Linked DNA regions of Sus scrofa. The main gene of each other region encodes a partner of the protein of the gene in region 3 in a complex. Links are inferred from orthologs where the notes say so. Each region holds a gene or a part of one and is shown on either strand. Other genes may lie near its edges.

What was found.
Region 1: the proteins of NF2 (region 3) and LATS2 are in contact, whole or in part, in a crystal structure (PDB 4ZRI), measured with the Homo sapiens proteins. The link is inferred for Sus scrofa from reciprocal best matches to the Homo sapiens genes NF2 and LATS2. Residues at the interface, in NP_000259.1 of Homo sapiens: Pro135, Glu136, Ala137, Val139, Leu140, Tyr144, Asn175, Leu176, Tyr177, Gln178, Met179, Trp184, Arg187, Trp191, Glu206, Lys209, Ile210; in NP_055387.2 of Homo sapiens: Tyr73, Ala76, Leu77, Glu79, Ile80, Arg81, Ser83, Leu84, Leu85, Phe87, Ala88, Asn89.
Region 2: the proteins of NF2 (region 3) and LATS1 are in contact, whole or in part, in a crystal structure (PDB 7LWH), measured with the Homo sapiens proteins. The link is inferred for Sus scrofa from reciprocal best matches to the Homo sapiens genes NF2 and LATS1. Residues at the interface, in NP_000259.1 of Homo sapiens: Pro135, Glu136, Ala137, Val139, Leu140, Tyr144, Asn175, Leu176, Tyr177, Gln178, Met179, Met183, Trp184, Arg187, Trp191, Glu206, Ile210, Asp213, Leu214, Glu215; in NP_004681.1 of Homo sapiens: Pro69, Lys70, Phe71, Gly72, His74, Ala77, Leu78, Glu80, Ile81, Arg82, Ser84, Leu85, Phe88, Ala89, Asn90.

Annotation. Positions count from the first base shown.
Region 1 is NC_010453.5:1,262,809-1,267,667, forward strand, and holds the start of LATS2 (serine/threonine-protein kinase LATS2), read right to left. Parts: upstream 3,163-4,859; 5' UTR 2,998-3,162; intron 2,723-2,997; exon of another isoform or gene 2,464-2,722; intron 1-2,463. UniProt on the Homo sapiens protein: Negative regulator of YAP1 in the Hippo signaling pathway that plays a pivotal role in organ size control and tumor suppression by restricting proliferation and promoting apoptosis.
Region 2 is NC_010443.5:16,273,513-16,278,116, reverse strand, and holds the start of LATS1 (serine/threonine-protein kinase LATS1), read right to left. Parts: upstream 3,163-4,604; 5' UTR 2,928-3,162; intron 1-2,927. UniProt on the Homo sapiens protein: Negative regulator of YAP1 in the Hippo signaling pathway that plays a pivotal role in organ size control and tumor suppression by restricting proliferation and promoting apoptosis.
Region 3 is NC_010456.5:46,652,430-46,657,018, reverse strand, and holds the start of NF2 (merlin), read right to left. Parts: upstream 3,151-4,589; 5' UTR 2,652-3,150; coding exon 2,538-2,651; intron 1-2,537. UniProt on the Homo sapiens protein: Probable regulator of the Hippo/SWH (Sav/Wts/Hpo) signaling pathway, a signaling pathway that plays a pivotal role in tumor suppression by restricting proliferation and promoting apoptosis.

The DNA.
Region 1 (4,859 bases), on a different chromosome or scaffold from region 3:
TCAATTAACTTTGTTTATTTATTTATTTTCAAGGAGAAAAACGACAGCTTTATTATTTTGCCAGGCAAAGGAGGACACAGCAGACTAATGCCTTAAATACTGCGCCCTCAATTAACTTTAAAAACCAACTGTCGGCATTCCCACAGTGGCTCAGTGGTGGCGTACCCGACTAGGATCCATGAGGTTGAGGGTTCCATCCCTGGCCTCCCTCGGTGGGTTAAGGATCCGACATTGCCGTGAGCTGTGGTGTAGGCTGCAGACACGGCTTGGATCCCAAGTGGCTTTAGCTGTGGCGTAGGCCGGTGGTTACAGCTCCAATTTGACCCCTAGCCTGGGAACTGCCATATGCCACAGGTGTGGCCTTAAAATAAAATAAAATAAAATAAATGTCACAATTAGGTTGATGTGGTCTAGACGGCGAGATAAAGTTCTCATGTAATGATCAGCAAACATTAAGCACTGTCAAATTTCCATCCTAATTTTAGCCCCATAACCATTATCTTCATTTCAACATTACCTTTGTTTTAATAATCCTTCAACATGAAGCTGTAAATCAAAGAGCACCAGCCTTAAAGGTACTTAGAGAACAACTAACAGGGAACTGAGCAGCCAAGCAGGGCTATCTCCACACTGGGGAGTCTTCACTGGTGGCCCTCCGTGTGCCACTAGCACACAGTGGGAATATGACCCTGGACCTGGGAGGCCCAGTTCAGTCCAGAGGAATTAGTAAGCGACAGGCTTTTTTTTTTTTTTAAGGAGGAACATTCAGAAAATCTTTCATGCTGAAAGTTAGTCACTTTAGAAGTTTTCAAACCCAACCTCTTCATTCTGTTGTTCAGACTATTTTGCTTCTTTTTAGAGAAGATTTACAGTCAAAGCAAAGTTAAATGCACTGAATTTATCTTCTGTATTTATTCCAACCTATTATCTTTACAAAATCAGTAAGGAATATTAGAAGTTTCACTTTTTTGGGGGGAGGGGGTCTTTTTGCCTTTTCTAGGGCTGCTTCCTGCGGCATATGGAGGCATATCAGAACACACCCACCCCCAAATTTCCCTGGCAACTGATGAACCAACCTGATGTCAATTCCCCCTTAAAGTGGTAGCCTCCTTCTCCCCCAGGTAGGGAAGCTGCTGCCAAGTTCAGCCGACCACGGTGGGGTGTTGCTCCAGGACCTTTTGCTTCTGTTCCCAGGCTAGGGGTCGAATGGGAGCTGTAGCTGCCAGCCTACACCAGAGCCACAGCAACTCGGGATCCCAGCCTCGTCTGCAGCCTACACCACAGTTCACGGCAACACCGGATCCTCAACCCACTGAGCAAGGCCAGGGATCGAACCCGCAACCTCATGGTTTCTAGTCGGATTCATTAACCACTGCGCCACGATGGGAACTCCAGAAGTTTCACATTATTACAATCATGAAATAAAATATAACAGCAGCTTCTAAAAAACTGTTAGTCTGGGTTTTCCAATAGAGATCAGCACACACCCCCCCCCAATTTCCCCCAAAACCTTCCAGTGTGTTCATGGCAAATGTCTCAGCTCCAACACCTCTCCTCACCCCCACCCCACCCCCATACAGCAGGATTTAGGAACTTCTGGGGGGGCTGGCTATTTACACCACAGTATTTAAAATAAGGCATCTTAGTGTACAAACACATTCCCCTCCCACCATCCCTGTGATGTGCTGAGAAATATGCACAGCCCCGATTTACACCTAAATCAAAAAACTATTTCGAATTAGATGGAGAGACTAGAAGAATCCTTTCCAGTTCAAAAATCCCAAGATTCTAGCCATTAACCCTAATAACGTCTCATGACACCTTCTGCTCAGATGTTTCAAATTGCTTGACATTTTGAGACTAAATGTTCTACAGTTTTAATTTCAAAGGAATGCTGCCATATTCATTACACAGTGCTCTATATACCTGGATAATGAGACCGAATTTTATGAGAGACTGAATCACAGTGTCTTGTTCATTATAATCTAAAACAGACTTTTTTAAACAGTCTGTACACTCTTGTTCTGAAGCTTTTCTGGTTATTATTAATACTTTCTCGGTTACTACCTTGTTAATACAATCGCAAAAGAAAAAACCTTAAGGATACAGAGCAGCTCAGTCTCCTGATCTAGCACTCAAAAACGGTGCCCCCTCCCAAAAAAAAGCTGGCCCATCGCGCAGGGGCGTTAAGATGAGATTCAGCGGAAAAATGCAGCAGGATCTACTGAGCGCACATTTCCTGATAAAAAGCAGGAGTTCCTTTCTGCATTACTGACCGAAGGCCTGTCAAGAACTAGGTTAAAACGCAAACTGAGCACCTGCGCGAACATCACACATTTCGCGACTTTCCGCCCAGGCTTCTGCACTCGAGCTTCTGAGCGGAATGCGGGCAAGGCTTCCTCCGCAAACGGAGGTGCCCGCTGAACACTTTCGGGGCCCGAGCTGCGCGGCCGGCGACCTTACCTGCCAACTCGGAGCGCACGCAGCCTGCGCCGCAGCCGAGGCGGAGAAACTTTTAAAAGTCCGGGTTCTGCTCCGCCAGGCGCCCCTCCCCTCCATCCACTCCGGGTCAGATCCGTCCACACCGCCGGCCCGGCGCACAAAGTGCACTTTCCGGTCCCACCCGAGGCCTGCGGGCGTGTCACGCCGGGACCCCTGCCCTCCGCCCGCCCCCGAGGCGCCCGAGTCCCGCCCGCGAGCGCCAACCGGGTCGGACCCCGCGGCCGGGGCCGGGCGGGCGGCGAGCGCGGGGGAGGCCGCGGGCCGCCGGGGTGGGGGAGGGGTGGGGGTCGGAGGTGAGGTGGGGGCGGGGTGGGGCCGCCCCGCCCGCGGGGGCCCGAGGTGGGGGGCGACCCGCCCGCCGGGGGCCGAGGAGGGGCCCGCAGGGCCAGCGGCCCCGCCCGCCCGTCCCGAGCGCGCGTCCCAGTCGGAGTCCGGACCCCGCCGGGCCGAGCCCGGGGGCCGCCCCGACGCCTGCCCGCCCGCCCGCCGGCTCACCTCGGCGCCGTCTACGCGGTGCGCGGCCGCCTGGCCCGCAGCTCCGGGGCGTCGCGCGGGGACGCCGGGCCCGGGGGCGCCGGGCGGGCGGGCGGCCCCATCTTCCGGCGCTCGCGCCGCGGCCCTGCGCGCACCGAGCGGGACATTCGCTACATTGTTGGCATTCCTCGGCCGTCACGTGACCGCCGCGTCACCGCCGCCCGCCCCGCCCCGCCCCGCCCGCCCGGCCGCCGGGGGAGACCGCGCGGGCCGACGGCCGCACCTGCCCCGCCCTGCGGCCGCCGCGTGAAAGGCCAGGGCGGCTGCCTTCTGGGCGGACAAGCTCCGGGCCGGGCTGGAGGGAAACTGCCTGAGGTCACGACCCCGCTCCCCGCGCCGACCGCTCGGCTGCCGTCGTGCAGCGGGGACGCCAGGTGTCGTCGGCGCACCTGCGCCCGCTGCACCTCGACGCGCAGCTCGCGCCTCCCCTGCACCCACCCCACCCCCGCTCACCTGCGGACCCGCTCTCGCCCCAGGAGGAGCCGCCCGCGCCTCCCCAGGGCCCAGCCGGGCGCTCACCTGCGGCCCCAGGCTCAGGCCCGACCACGCCCCCTCCGCCTGGCCCCCGCCTGGGGGCTGGCGGCCCTCCTGCCCTCGTGTGCGGTTAAAGGTCCTGCCCTGGCTCTGCCTTCAGCGATATAAACAGCATTCAATAAAAGAAAGACAAGGGACAGGGAAGGCATGTAATGGACTTTAAAATTTTTGTGTAAAACACCGAATCAAATTGTGAGTTTGTAATAGTGAAAACTCAGGAAGAACCTAAAAGTCCCAACAACAGGGAATGGGGGAAAGTAAAATATGTAAAATACCTCAGTGAACGAACTAGCTGAACTCTTCAAAGGATAAATGATTGTAGATAGAACTTCCACATGCCCCAGGAGAGGCCCAAATTAAAAAAAAAAAAAAAAAAAGGAAACACCGTATCTGGAGTTTCCTTACAGGAGGTTGTGTTGTCACTGCTGTGGTGCCGGTTTCATCCCTGGCCCTGGAACTTCTGCAAAAGAAGAAACATCTTTAGGGTAGGCCCCTTTGTGGCTCAGCAGTAACTAAACCGACTAGAATCCGTGAGGATGCAGGTACAATCCCTGGCCTCGCTCAATGGGTTAAGGATCTTGGGTTGCCTTGAGCTGTGGTGTAGATCACAGGGAGGCTTGGATTGGGCATCGCTGTGGCTGTGGTGTAGGCTGGCAGCTGCAGCTCCCATTCAACTCCTAGCCTGGAAACCTCCATATGCCATAGCTGCAGCCCTAAAAAGACCAAAAAAAAAAAAAAAAAAAAAAAAAAAGAGAGAGAGAGAGAAACATCTTTAAAAATGTTTCATATGGAGTTCCCATCGTCTATCAGCAGTAGTGAACCTGACTAGCGTTCATGAGGACCAGTTTGATCCCTGGCCTCACTCAGTGGGTTAAGGATCTGGCATTGCTGTGAGCTGTGGTGTAGGCCTGAAGCTTCAGCTCCAATTTGACCCCTAGCCTAGGAACCTCCATATGCCACAGGTGCGAAAGATGAGTTCCCGTCATGGTGCAGTGGTTAACAAATCTGACTAGGAACCATGAGGTGGCAGGTTCAATCCTTGGCCTTGCTCATTGGGTTAAGGATCTGGTGTTGCCGTGAGCTGTGGTATAGGTTGAAGATGAACCTCGGATCCTGCGTTGCTGTGGCTCTGGCTAGGCCGGTGGCTACGGCTCTGATAAGACCCCAGCCTTGGAATCTCCATGTGCCTCCGGTGCGGCCCAAGAAAAAACAAAAAGACAAAAATAAGTAAATAAATAAATAAAAAGAAAGAAAGAAAGAAACACAGTGACAAAACAGAGTACAGGATC
Region 2 (4,604 bases), on a different chromosome or scaffold from region 3:
TGAGTAATACTAAAAAAAAAAAAAAAAAACAAAAAAACAGTAGGGTACAAATCCCAGTTCTATCCATAACTAGCTTTGTGATCTAGGAAAGGTGTGCCTCAGTTCTTCATCTTCAAATATGGACAATAATGGTCCTATTTAATAGGGTAATTTAAAGCATTAAATAAGTTTAGAATACATGCCTAACTAAATAAATGTTAGTTATTATCTTATTATATCTTTTTCCACTATCTTACCCAGATTCTCCCTGTATAACATATATTCTAACCAAGCCAAATTACTTGCTTTCTGCTAATGTGCCTTGTGCTTCTCTACCTTCATGTTCTTACTCTTCTTAGGAGACCCTCTGCCATATTCCTTCTTGTAGAAATTATACCCAGCATTTATGGTGCCATTCAAATGCTTCCTTCATGAAGCTTTCATTGAAGTGCCAGCTGCTATCCTCCTCTGAACTTCAAATGCACTTTACACAGGCAAATAAAACTTGTTTTTGCCCTATTCTTGTACTTGTCTTATTTTTCCCACTAAGCACAGACTGACAAAGCAGAGGTATCTTGGATATTGGATGTGTGTGTGTGTGTGTGTGTGTGTATTTTATTTTAAATTATAATTTGAATTGATCCAGAGTAAATGGATCCAGAGAGGTAAAGTGGCCCCATTAAAATCATACAGCCAGCTGGAGGTCATGCTAGGAATGGACTCCACATATCCTGAAACAGCCCAAGGCTCTTTTTTCCATGTCATTTTTTTTGGTCTTTTTGCCATTTCTTGGGCTGCTTCTGCAGCATATGGAGGTTCCCAAGCTAGGGGTCCAATCGGAGCTGTAGCCACTGACCTACACCAGAGCCACAGCAACTCATGATCAGAGCCGCGTCTGCAATCTACACCACAGCTCATGGCAACACGGATCCTTAACCCACTGAACAAGGCCAGGGATCAAACCCGAAACCTCATGGTTCCTAGTCGGATTCATTAACCACTGAGCCACAACAGGAACTCCCCAAGGCTCTTTTTTATCATACCTACATCTTAGTTTTCCTAAGGGATCATGACTCACATTCTTTGAAGGGATAACTTGGTTAGACTGAACAGACAAAACCTCCATTTCTTAGAAAGTTCGGACCTTCATCAGATGTACAAATGTCAATAAGTACAAACAAATACTGCTGATATCTTACCCAACTTAGGAAAAGAACAGAGCCCATTACATAAGAAGATTTCAAATTGATACCTTAGGTTGAACTAGGCTTGTAAAAAAGATGGTATCTTAAAGCTTTGACTAAATCAGTTATGAGAAAAGCAACAGTACTGTCTTAGCAGTATAGTCTTAGCTGTCCATATGGTAATATGTAAGAATCTCTGCATTCTGATGACATTTTCTCCAATTCACTTTCTAAGAGTTAACCTATCAAAAGTGAGAACAATCATTATATTTTATCATCATTTGAAAAATGACTGCCATTTCTACTTGATAAAAATGTTGTTCAATGACTAAATAACTTTCATAGTCTACAAAAATCCACCACTAATCTAAATATCACATCTAGAGCAAAAACTAAATAACCAGAGCTGGAACTGTTCTAAGGCTACACTATGTAGAGTAACAAGGAGGAGCATTAAAAACAAAAACAAAAACTCAACCTAAAGAAAGAAATCCACATGTGCCATATCATGCCAAATATATCTAGCAGAAATATTTTTATTTGCTTTTGAAGGCTGTCACCATATTTATTAAATACTCAGGCACAGGAAAAAATGCGCCTTTTCTAGCCTGTATCATGATCTAGTTTCTTGCAGTAACAGCCGATCAGAGGAACACAATGCTACTTCTTTCACTGTTAAATCAAATTCCTCCACTGCCTTAGGGAATCAACTAGCTCATTTTACCCGTGTGTCAACTAATTAAAGGAAAAAAATAAACGTAGTTAAATCACGAACATAGATACCTTAGCAGAGCACATTCATTACAATTATAATATCCGACTTTTTCTTCTATATGGTGGAAATCTGACAAAAAATTCTTAGTCCTCAATAACAATCCATAAGACCTGACACCCTTCATGGTTCAAGTCCATTTCCAAAATTGGAGTGATACAATACTGTGTGCGAGATTATAGTTCTCACTAGATTTATGAATTAACTTCTAGATAACGATGTAATATTTTGAGTCGTATTAACATATGGGTCAACAGACATTAATTTTTGTTCCCTTAGAAAAGAACTTTAAACTGAAGAAGAAAATAGCTTCCAACTGGAAAGAATGGGGTTAAATCACTTCACCTGAGAGTCATTCTTTGTGGCACAAAGTCTTTTTGAAGTTACAATAAACAATGTCCCCTGAACTTCCTTTCCTTCATTTTCTGAATTTACAGACATACTCCCTCCATCTCTCCTATCCCTTCCAACTATGAACAGCAACCTATTTACAGTGGACTGTAAATAGAAATTCTCAGAATTTCTTCAAGGTATATCCAGGAGCAGGTCCTTCTGGAATGAAAGAACTGTGGCTCCTTCACTGCACATTTCCTTCACAATCACCTTTCGCTATCCGTTCCTTCCTGAACACCGCTGACCGGTGAGGGTTGGAGACAAGGGTGGAGGGAGGTGTGAGCGAAAACAGTCCGCGCAAGGCCTCCAGTGAGACAGGATCTTCCCGGGCTAACCTGAACCTCCAAGGCCGCAAAGCCTGGGGCTCTTCCTCCAGCCCCGGGCGCGGCCAACCCTCGCTTCCCCAGGGCAGGGCTCCGCTCAGGTCCATGCAACCAGCCAAATCGGGCCCGTACCGGGCCGGCCCGGCCCGCCCGTCCGCAGCGGCCCCTGGACTCCCGCCAGCGGGGATGGGCGTGGGCCCCGACGGCCACCGCCCCGCCAACGCGGGCTCCGGAGGAGAGAGTGAGCCCCACCCGCTACGCCAGCCCCGGACCTACCTGCAGAGAGCGGGGCTCCTGGACAGCGGCCACGGGCCCGAGGGCGGGCGTCGAGGCGGCCGGAGCCCGTCCCAGGGACCCCAAGTGTCCCCGGTGGGGCAGGGCGGGCAGAGACGCCGGGGGGCTGCCGCGGGCCAGCGCGGCCCGTCGCGGAGGTCGCGGGGACCTGGCTCTCCCCTCAGCACCAGGCCGCCGCCGCCGCCGCCATTTTGCCTTCCACTCGGTGTCGCCGCCGCCGCACTCCGCTGCAGGTTTCCCGGATGTGGGCATTTCCCGGCGTCGCTTGCGCGGGGGCCGAGGACTGGGGGCTTCTGCCCGCCCGGCCGTGGGGAGCGGGCGCGCCGCCGCCGGCCTCCCGCCCTCCGCGGCCGCCCGTCCCCCTGCGTGTGCCCGCGCGTCGCCCCGCGTCGCCCCCGCTTTGCGCTGCGCAGGTGACTCGCCACGGCTGATGGCGTTCGGCTCTCCGCCTCCCAAGCCCACTCATTTAGTTCAGTGTCTTTCTCAATTGAGCGCTTTCTGTGGAAGGACGAATGTAGAATAAAAGGTGCGCCTCTGCAAGAGTTTAATTTCCAAAAGGTAACAGCCGTGAGTTGCTCTCTGAAACCTCGCGGTGGACCTCGGGATTCGGAATTTCTAGAGGCTTTGAAATAAACTGATGTTTGCTTAGCACTCTTTCCCCGAGTACATCCGTGAGTTTGTTTTCTGAATCAGTCAGATTAATATATTCGCGAACACGAACAGACTAGGGGTTCAGAGATTTCTGTCAACTGAATAATCTGTCAACTGAATCGGTATAAAAGGAAGTCATTATTACCATAACTGGAATAATTTTGACTGCAGCGAAAGAGGCTTTATCTTGTTAGATGGAATTGGAAGTTTGGGATGGGATCGTTGGGTTTATGATGTTTGAAGATCCCCTCCACTCTCTGCCCATGGCCTTTGCCAATTTTGCCTCTAGAAAATATATGCAGTTAGTACTTTCAAATATCTCCTTTCATCACATTTATGCTGGAGACTAGCTATTATTCGTTTAAACCAAAGCCTCTTTTTTTTCTGATGTTGAGTTAGTGGCTGGCTACTATTTCCAGAAGTTCAAATATGAAAACTTATGATGAAAGAAAAGATTACATTCCAAGAGCATTTGGTTGAAAGTCTCTTCCACAGGTAGAGTTTGTAAAAGGTATGATCTAAAGGGAGTCATTTAAGGGAGTTCCTTTTGTGGCTCAGCGGTAAGGAACCTGACTAGGATCCAAGAGGATGAGGGTTCAATCTGTGGCCTCGCTTAAGGATTGGGAGTTGCCATGAGCTGTGGTGTAGGTCGCAGACTTGTTGGATCCCTAGTTGCTGTGGCTGTGCTGTAGACCAATTGCTGCAGCTTGGATTCCACCCCTAGCCTGGGAACTTCCATATGCTGTGGGTGTAGCCCTAAAAAAGACAAAGGAAACCAAAAACAACAACCAAACAACAAAAACAAAGGGAGTCACTTAATAGCCCTGGGTCTTTCTTCAGCTGGAGAACTAAGTGACCAGCAGGGTATCTTTCAGCCTCAAAACTATATACATTTTATGAATCTAGTATGTCCACAGGCCTGCTTGCTCTTTCCAGGATTATGTATCTGGAAGAGCATGCTGCCCCCCGAAACTTTGTCACCTCTGTCACCAGCCCACAGAATTTTCT
Region 3 (4,589 bases):
TTCCCAATTGCCTTTCACCAAAAGCTCCTCAGTTCTAGAGAGTCCCCTTAGTCATAAATTCTCCACACTCTATTTGCAAACAAAAAGTCACTACTTTCTGTAAGGAGCTAAGGGTTTTAAAACCTGCTTCTCCCTCCAGGCAAAATCTCTGAGCCCCTGATAGAAGGGGGTAAGGGAAGACACAGTAGCCTGAGGCCTTCTCAGTTTGCTTCTCCTGGCTGGAACCACCATCTCACAAACTGAGGGTCATTGGGACTCCAGTATTCCCGGAGAGCCACACCTGTAATACAGCCCACATTCCATAAGTAAGAGCTGGGTGGAAGAAGGAAGCTCCATGATTCAGCTTCACTCACCCAGGATTTAGCCTCAGCAACAAGTAGCCTTGGGCAGAAGCCCTAAACTATGCACTTCTGGGAAGAAGGCTGTCTGCCTAGGGGGTAGGGGGAGAGGAAGCCCTGTGTACTGGGCTGCGGGGTTGAGAGCAGAATCTCTACCTTGTAGAGCTGGGAGCAGGGAGGGTGGTATGGTCCTGGTTCAAACACCACAAACTCCTGCCTTTCTTACAGATTTTTTTTTTTTTTTTTTTTCTATTTAAGGCCACACCTGCAGCATATGGAAGGTCCCAGGCCAGGGGTCAAATCAGAGCTGTAGCTGCTGGCCTATACCACAGCCACAGCAATGCAGCATCGGAGCCATGTCTGTGACCTATACTGTAGCACAGGGTAACGCCAGATTCTTAACCTACTGAGCGAAGCCGGGGATCAAACCTGCATCCTCATGGATACTAGTCAGGTTCATAACTGCTGAAACACAATGGAACTCCTTTACCGAATTTTCATAGATTTTCTTTCTTTCTTTTTCTTTTTTCTTTTTTGGTCTTAAAGGGCCGCACCCACGGCATATGGAGGTTCCCAGGCTAGGGGTTCAATCAGAGCTACAGCTGCTGGCCTATGCCACAGCCACAGCAATGCAGGATCCAAGCTGCGTCTCTGACCTATACCCACAGCTCAGTGAAACCTTAACCCGATGAGCAAGGCCAGGAATTGAACCCCCGTCCTCACAGATACCAGTAGGGTTCGTTAACAACTGCACCATGATGGGACCCCCCTTCATAGATTTTCTTGAGTAGATGCTTCTTCACTTGATGTCTGCTCTTAGAACAACTTCCAGAGGGTTTACAAAAAAAAAATTTTTTTGGCCACACCTACGGCATGTAGAAGTTCCAGGGCCAGGGACTGAACCCACGCCACAGCAGTGACCCAAGCCATAGAGCCACAGCAGTGACAACGTTGGATCCTTAACCTGCTGTGCCACCAGAGAACTCTCTAAATTGGTTTTTGTTTTTGTTTTGTCTTTTTAGGGCCATACTGTGGCATATGGAAGTTCCCAGGCTAGGGGTCGAATCAGAGCTGTAGCCACTGGCCTACACCACAGCCACAGCAACGCGGGATCCGAGCTGTGTCTGTGACCTACACCACAGCTCATAGCAATGCCAGATCCTTACCCACTGATTGAGGCCAGGGATCGAACCTGTGTCCTCATGGATACTTGTTTCCACTGAGCCACGACAGGAACTCCTAAATTGTTTTTTAAAAATAAATTTTACCAGTTTACAGAGCACCATGTCACTGGAGTTCCTCACCCTGTCAGGCTGGAAGGGATCCTGCCTAAGGCCATTTTTGTTCTACAGAGGTAGAACTGAAGAGTTGAGCAGTTGCAACTCGGACCCTAAGGCTTGAAAAGCTGAAAAAATTTATTATGGGCCCGTTACAGAAAAAAAATTGCCAACCACTGACTTATGTTGCTGTTGCCAATTCTGCTTGTCCCCAGGCCACACTCTGAGTAGCAAGGACATAAAATTACTTGAGAGCAGTACTGTATTGGCTCGAATCAAAACGCTCCTTCACCATTTACTGGATATATGGTTTGGGGTACCCACCTAAATGAGTTGTTTTGAGAGGTAAGTGTATGAATGTCTGACACTTAGGACGTATTCAATAAAGGATAACTTATCATTGTGATACAAACTGTAGGGAAAGTTTAGGATATCATCTTTTTCCTCGAAGAGTTTTTTCCAGAAAATTTAAGCTGTGAAAAAGGGAAACAACTACTGTAGACTGTGCAATAAAATGAGATGCAACTTTTAATAGCTGGGGTACATAATATAATCGAATAAAGTTAAAAACTCTATAAAGCTGAAGTTAAAGCCTGACACTGAAAATTAAATTTCGCTACCACGGATGTTTTCAGACTCTTGGAATAACAATGAATGAAAACCTTCAGGAAGCACTTCCAAACCCAAAAGTCCCATTGAAAAAAGCAGCGATTATCTTTAACATGACGATTTGGGCCTAGATGGCTCCTTCCGGTTCTGACCCTCTCAGTCTTTGCCCAGAGATGATATAAACAGAATCCCGAAGCTTCCACCTCAACTGTCACCGCGGCAAGGGCGCCCAGGTCGGTGCCAGATCCGCACCAGGGCCCGATCCCGCCAGGCCTCCCTTCGCTGCAGCCCGTAGGGGCTGCCGGCCGGTTACCTCGCAATTGAACTCCATCTCCGCGTCCATAGTGACGATCCGCACGGTGAACGTCTTGGGCTGCTTCCTCTTGAGAGAGCTGAAGCTCATTCGGGAAGCGATGGCCCCGGCCATGGCGTGGGGCTCAGGCCCGGGAACCTGGGGCCCCGGGGCCTGCACTCTGGACCTTTTAGCCTCCCTGGAGAAGCCGCACAGGCCTCAGGGCCACCATGGTGGCCGGCCGGCCGGCCCGGGAGCTGTCTGAGCGGCGCGGGCCCCCAGCGGCCAGCATGGGCCGCGAGGACCGTGCCCTGGGAACGGAAAGGGGAGTTGGGGGGCGGGCCCTGATGGCCGCGGGGAGAGATCGCGATCAGGGACAGACAAGGCGGGCACCGCCCGGCTCTCGCCGGGACTCGGGCTGGGGACGTTGGGGACGCCCAGGGACGGGGGCCCTAGACGGCGGCTGCCCAGACCCTGCGCGCCTCTCAGCGGCCAACAGAGGTCTCAGGGGCCGCTCTCCAGCCAGGCGCGCACGTGCGCGCGTGGCTGTCACCGTCCTAGCTCCGCGCACCCGCGGGAAGCGTCCCCTCCCCGCATCCCCCGGCCTGCTCCCTGCCCCGCCCTCAGGCCCTTCAGAGCGCTACACGCAACGCAACCTAACTCGGCGGCTGCAGCCTAGACACCACGATTGGCTGAGAACTCTGAGGGAGGCGGGACTTTCTCCCGCTGTCCCACCTTCTTCAGTAGGACTTTACCAATTGGAAGTTCAGATCTAATTGGAGGCGCGGGATTACCCTCGACGTTGAGTGGCTAAGGCAGCGTCACTCCGAACGCTTTTGTTCGTAGGGGTACGCCTACTCTAGCAAGACTGGTTGACGCGGGGAGCCCGGCGCGCCTTTCCCAGGAAAACAAGAAGAGGCTGCTCCCGGGGCGCGGGAGATGAGTCACTCCTCAGTTCAGCAAGGGACTGCCCTTCGGACCAGGTCTGCGCCGAGTGTGGCGCCCCAGGAGACTGCGTTTCGAACGCCGAGCGGCCAATCCTGTTTAGCACTTAATTGCATGTATTACATGTACTGACTTGGTTTTTCTTAAACTTTCAAATCACTTGAGGCCGCTTGGTAGCGGGCAGTTTCCGCCAAGTCCTTCAGCTTCTGTTGAGGAGAAATTCTAGTTGTTACCGCGGGAGGGGGTAATAATTGCATCTGTCTCATGGAGTTGTTGAGGAATTTAAGCGAGATCATCCATATAAAGCTTTAGATAAGTGACTGGTCATACTACGTTGAATCTTATGAAATTATTCTTTCTGTAGATTTAAAAAACTAGAAAAATGAAAGCAGTTTTTATGTTGTGTTCTGTGTGATTTCCAGTTTCAGATCATATACATGATTTTTGTTTAAACTTCCTCAAGGGTTACAGTGAATGTGTGTGAGAGAGAGGTAGGGGAGTATAACTTTCTGTGTTTTTGTTGTGGTTCTTTAGGGCCACACCTGGGGCATATGGAAGCGCCTGGGATAGAGGTCCAACTGGAGCTGCAGCTTCCAGTCTACACCACAGCCACAGCAATGCCAGATCTGAGCCGCATCTGCGACCTACATCACAGCTCAGGGCAATGCGGGATCCTTAAACCACTGAGGGAGGCCAGGGATTGAATCCGAGTCCTCTTTGGATACTAGTTGCTGAGCCACAACTGGAACTCGTGTGTGTGTGTGTGTGTGTGTGTGTGTTTCTGTTTCTCTTTTAATCCAAATTTTAAGTTAATTCTTAGTGGTTGCCTAGCTGAGTGGTTGAAGGTTAAGCGTTGCACAGGTATTAACTATCATTATCACCCCCACCCCCACTCTACAGGTGAAGAAAAAGCTCAGCATGACGGAGCTACTTGCTGGCTAGCATCTAACTGCTGAGAGGCAAAGCTGGAACTCAAACCCAGGTCTGTTCCACCCAGAGACTGCTCGTATTACCTCTACTCTGCTCTCCTTCCCTGGTGGTGGCTTCTGAATTGCTCCTCCTGGTTACAGCCCCAAGACCCTGAACTACAGTTCTGGAGCCCTCAGCAGACACTGATGCTATAACTCT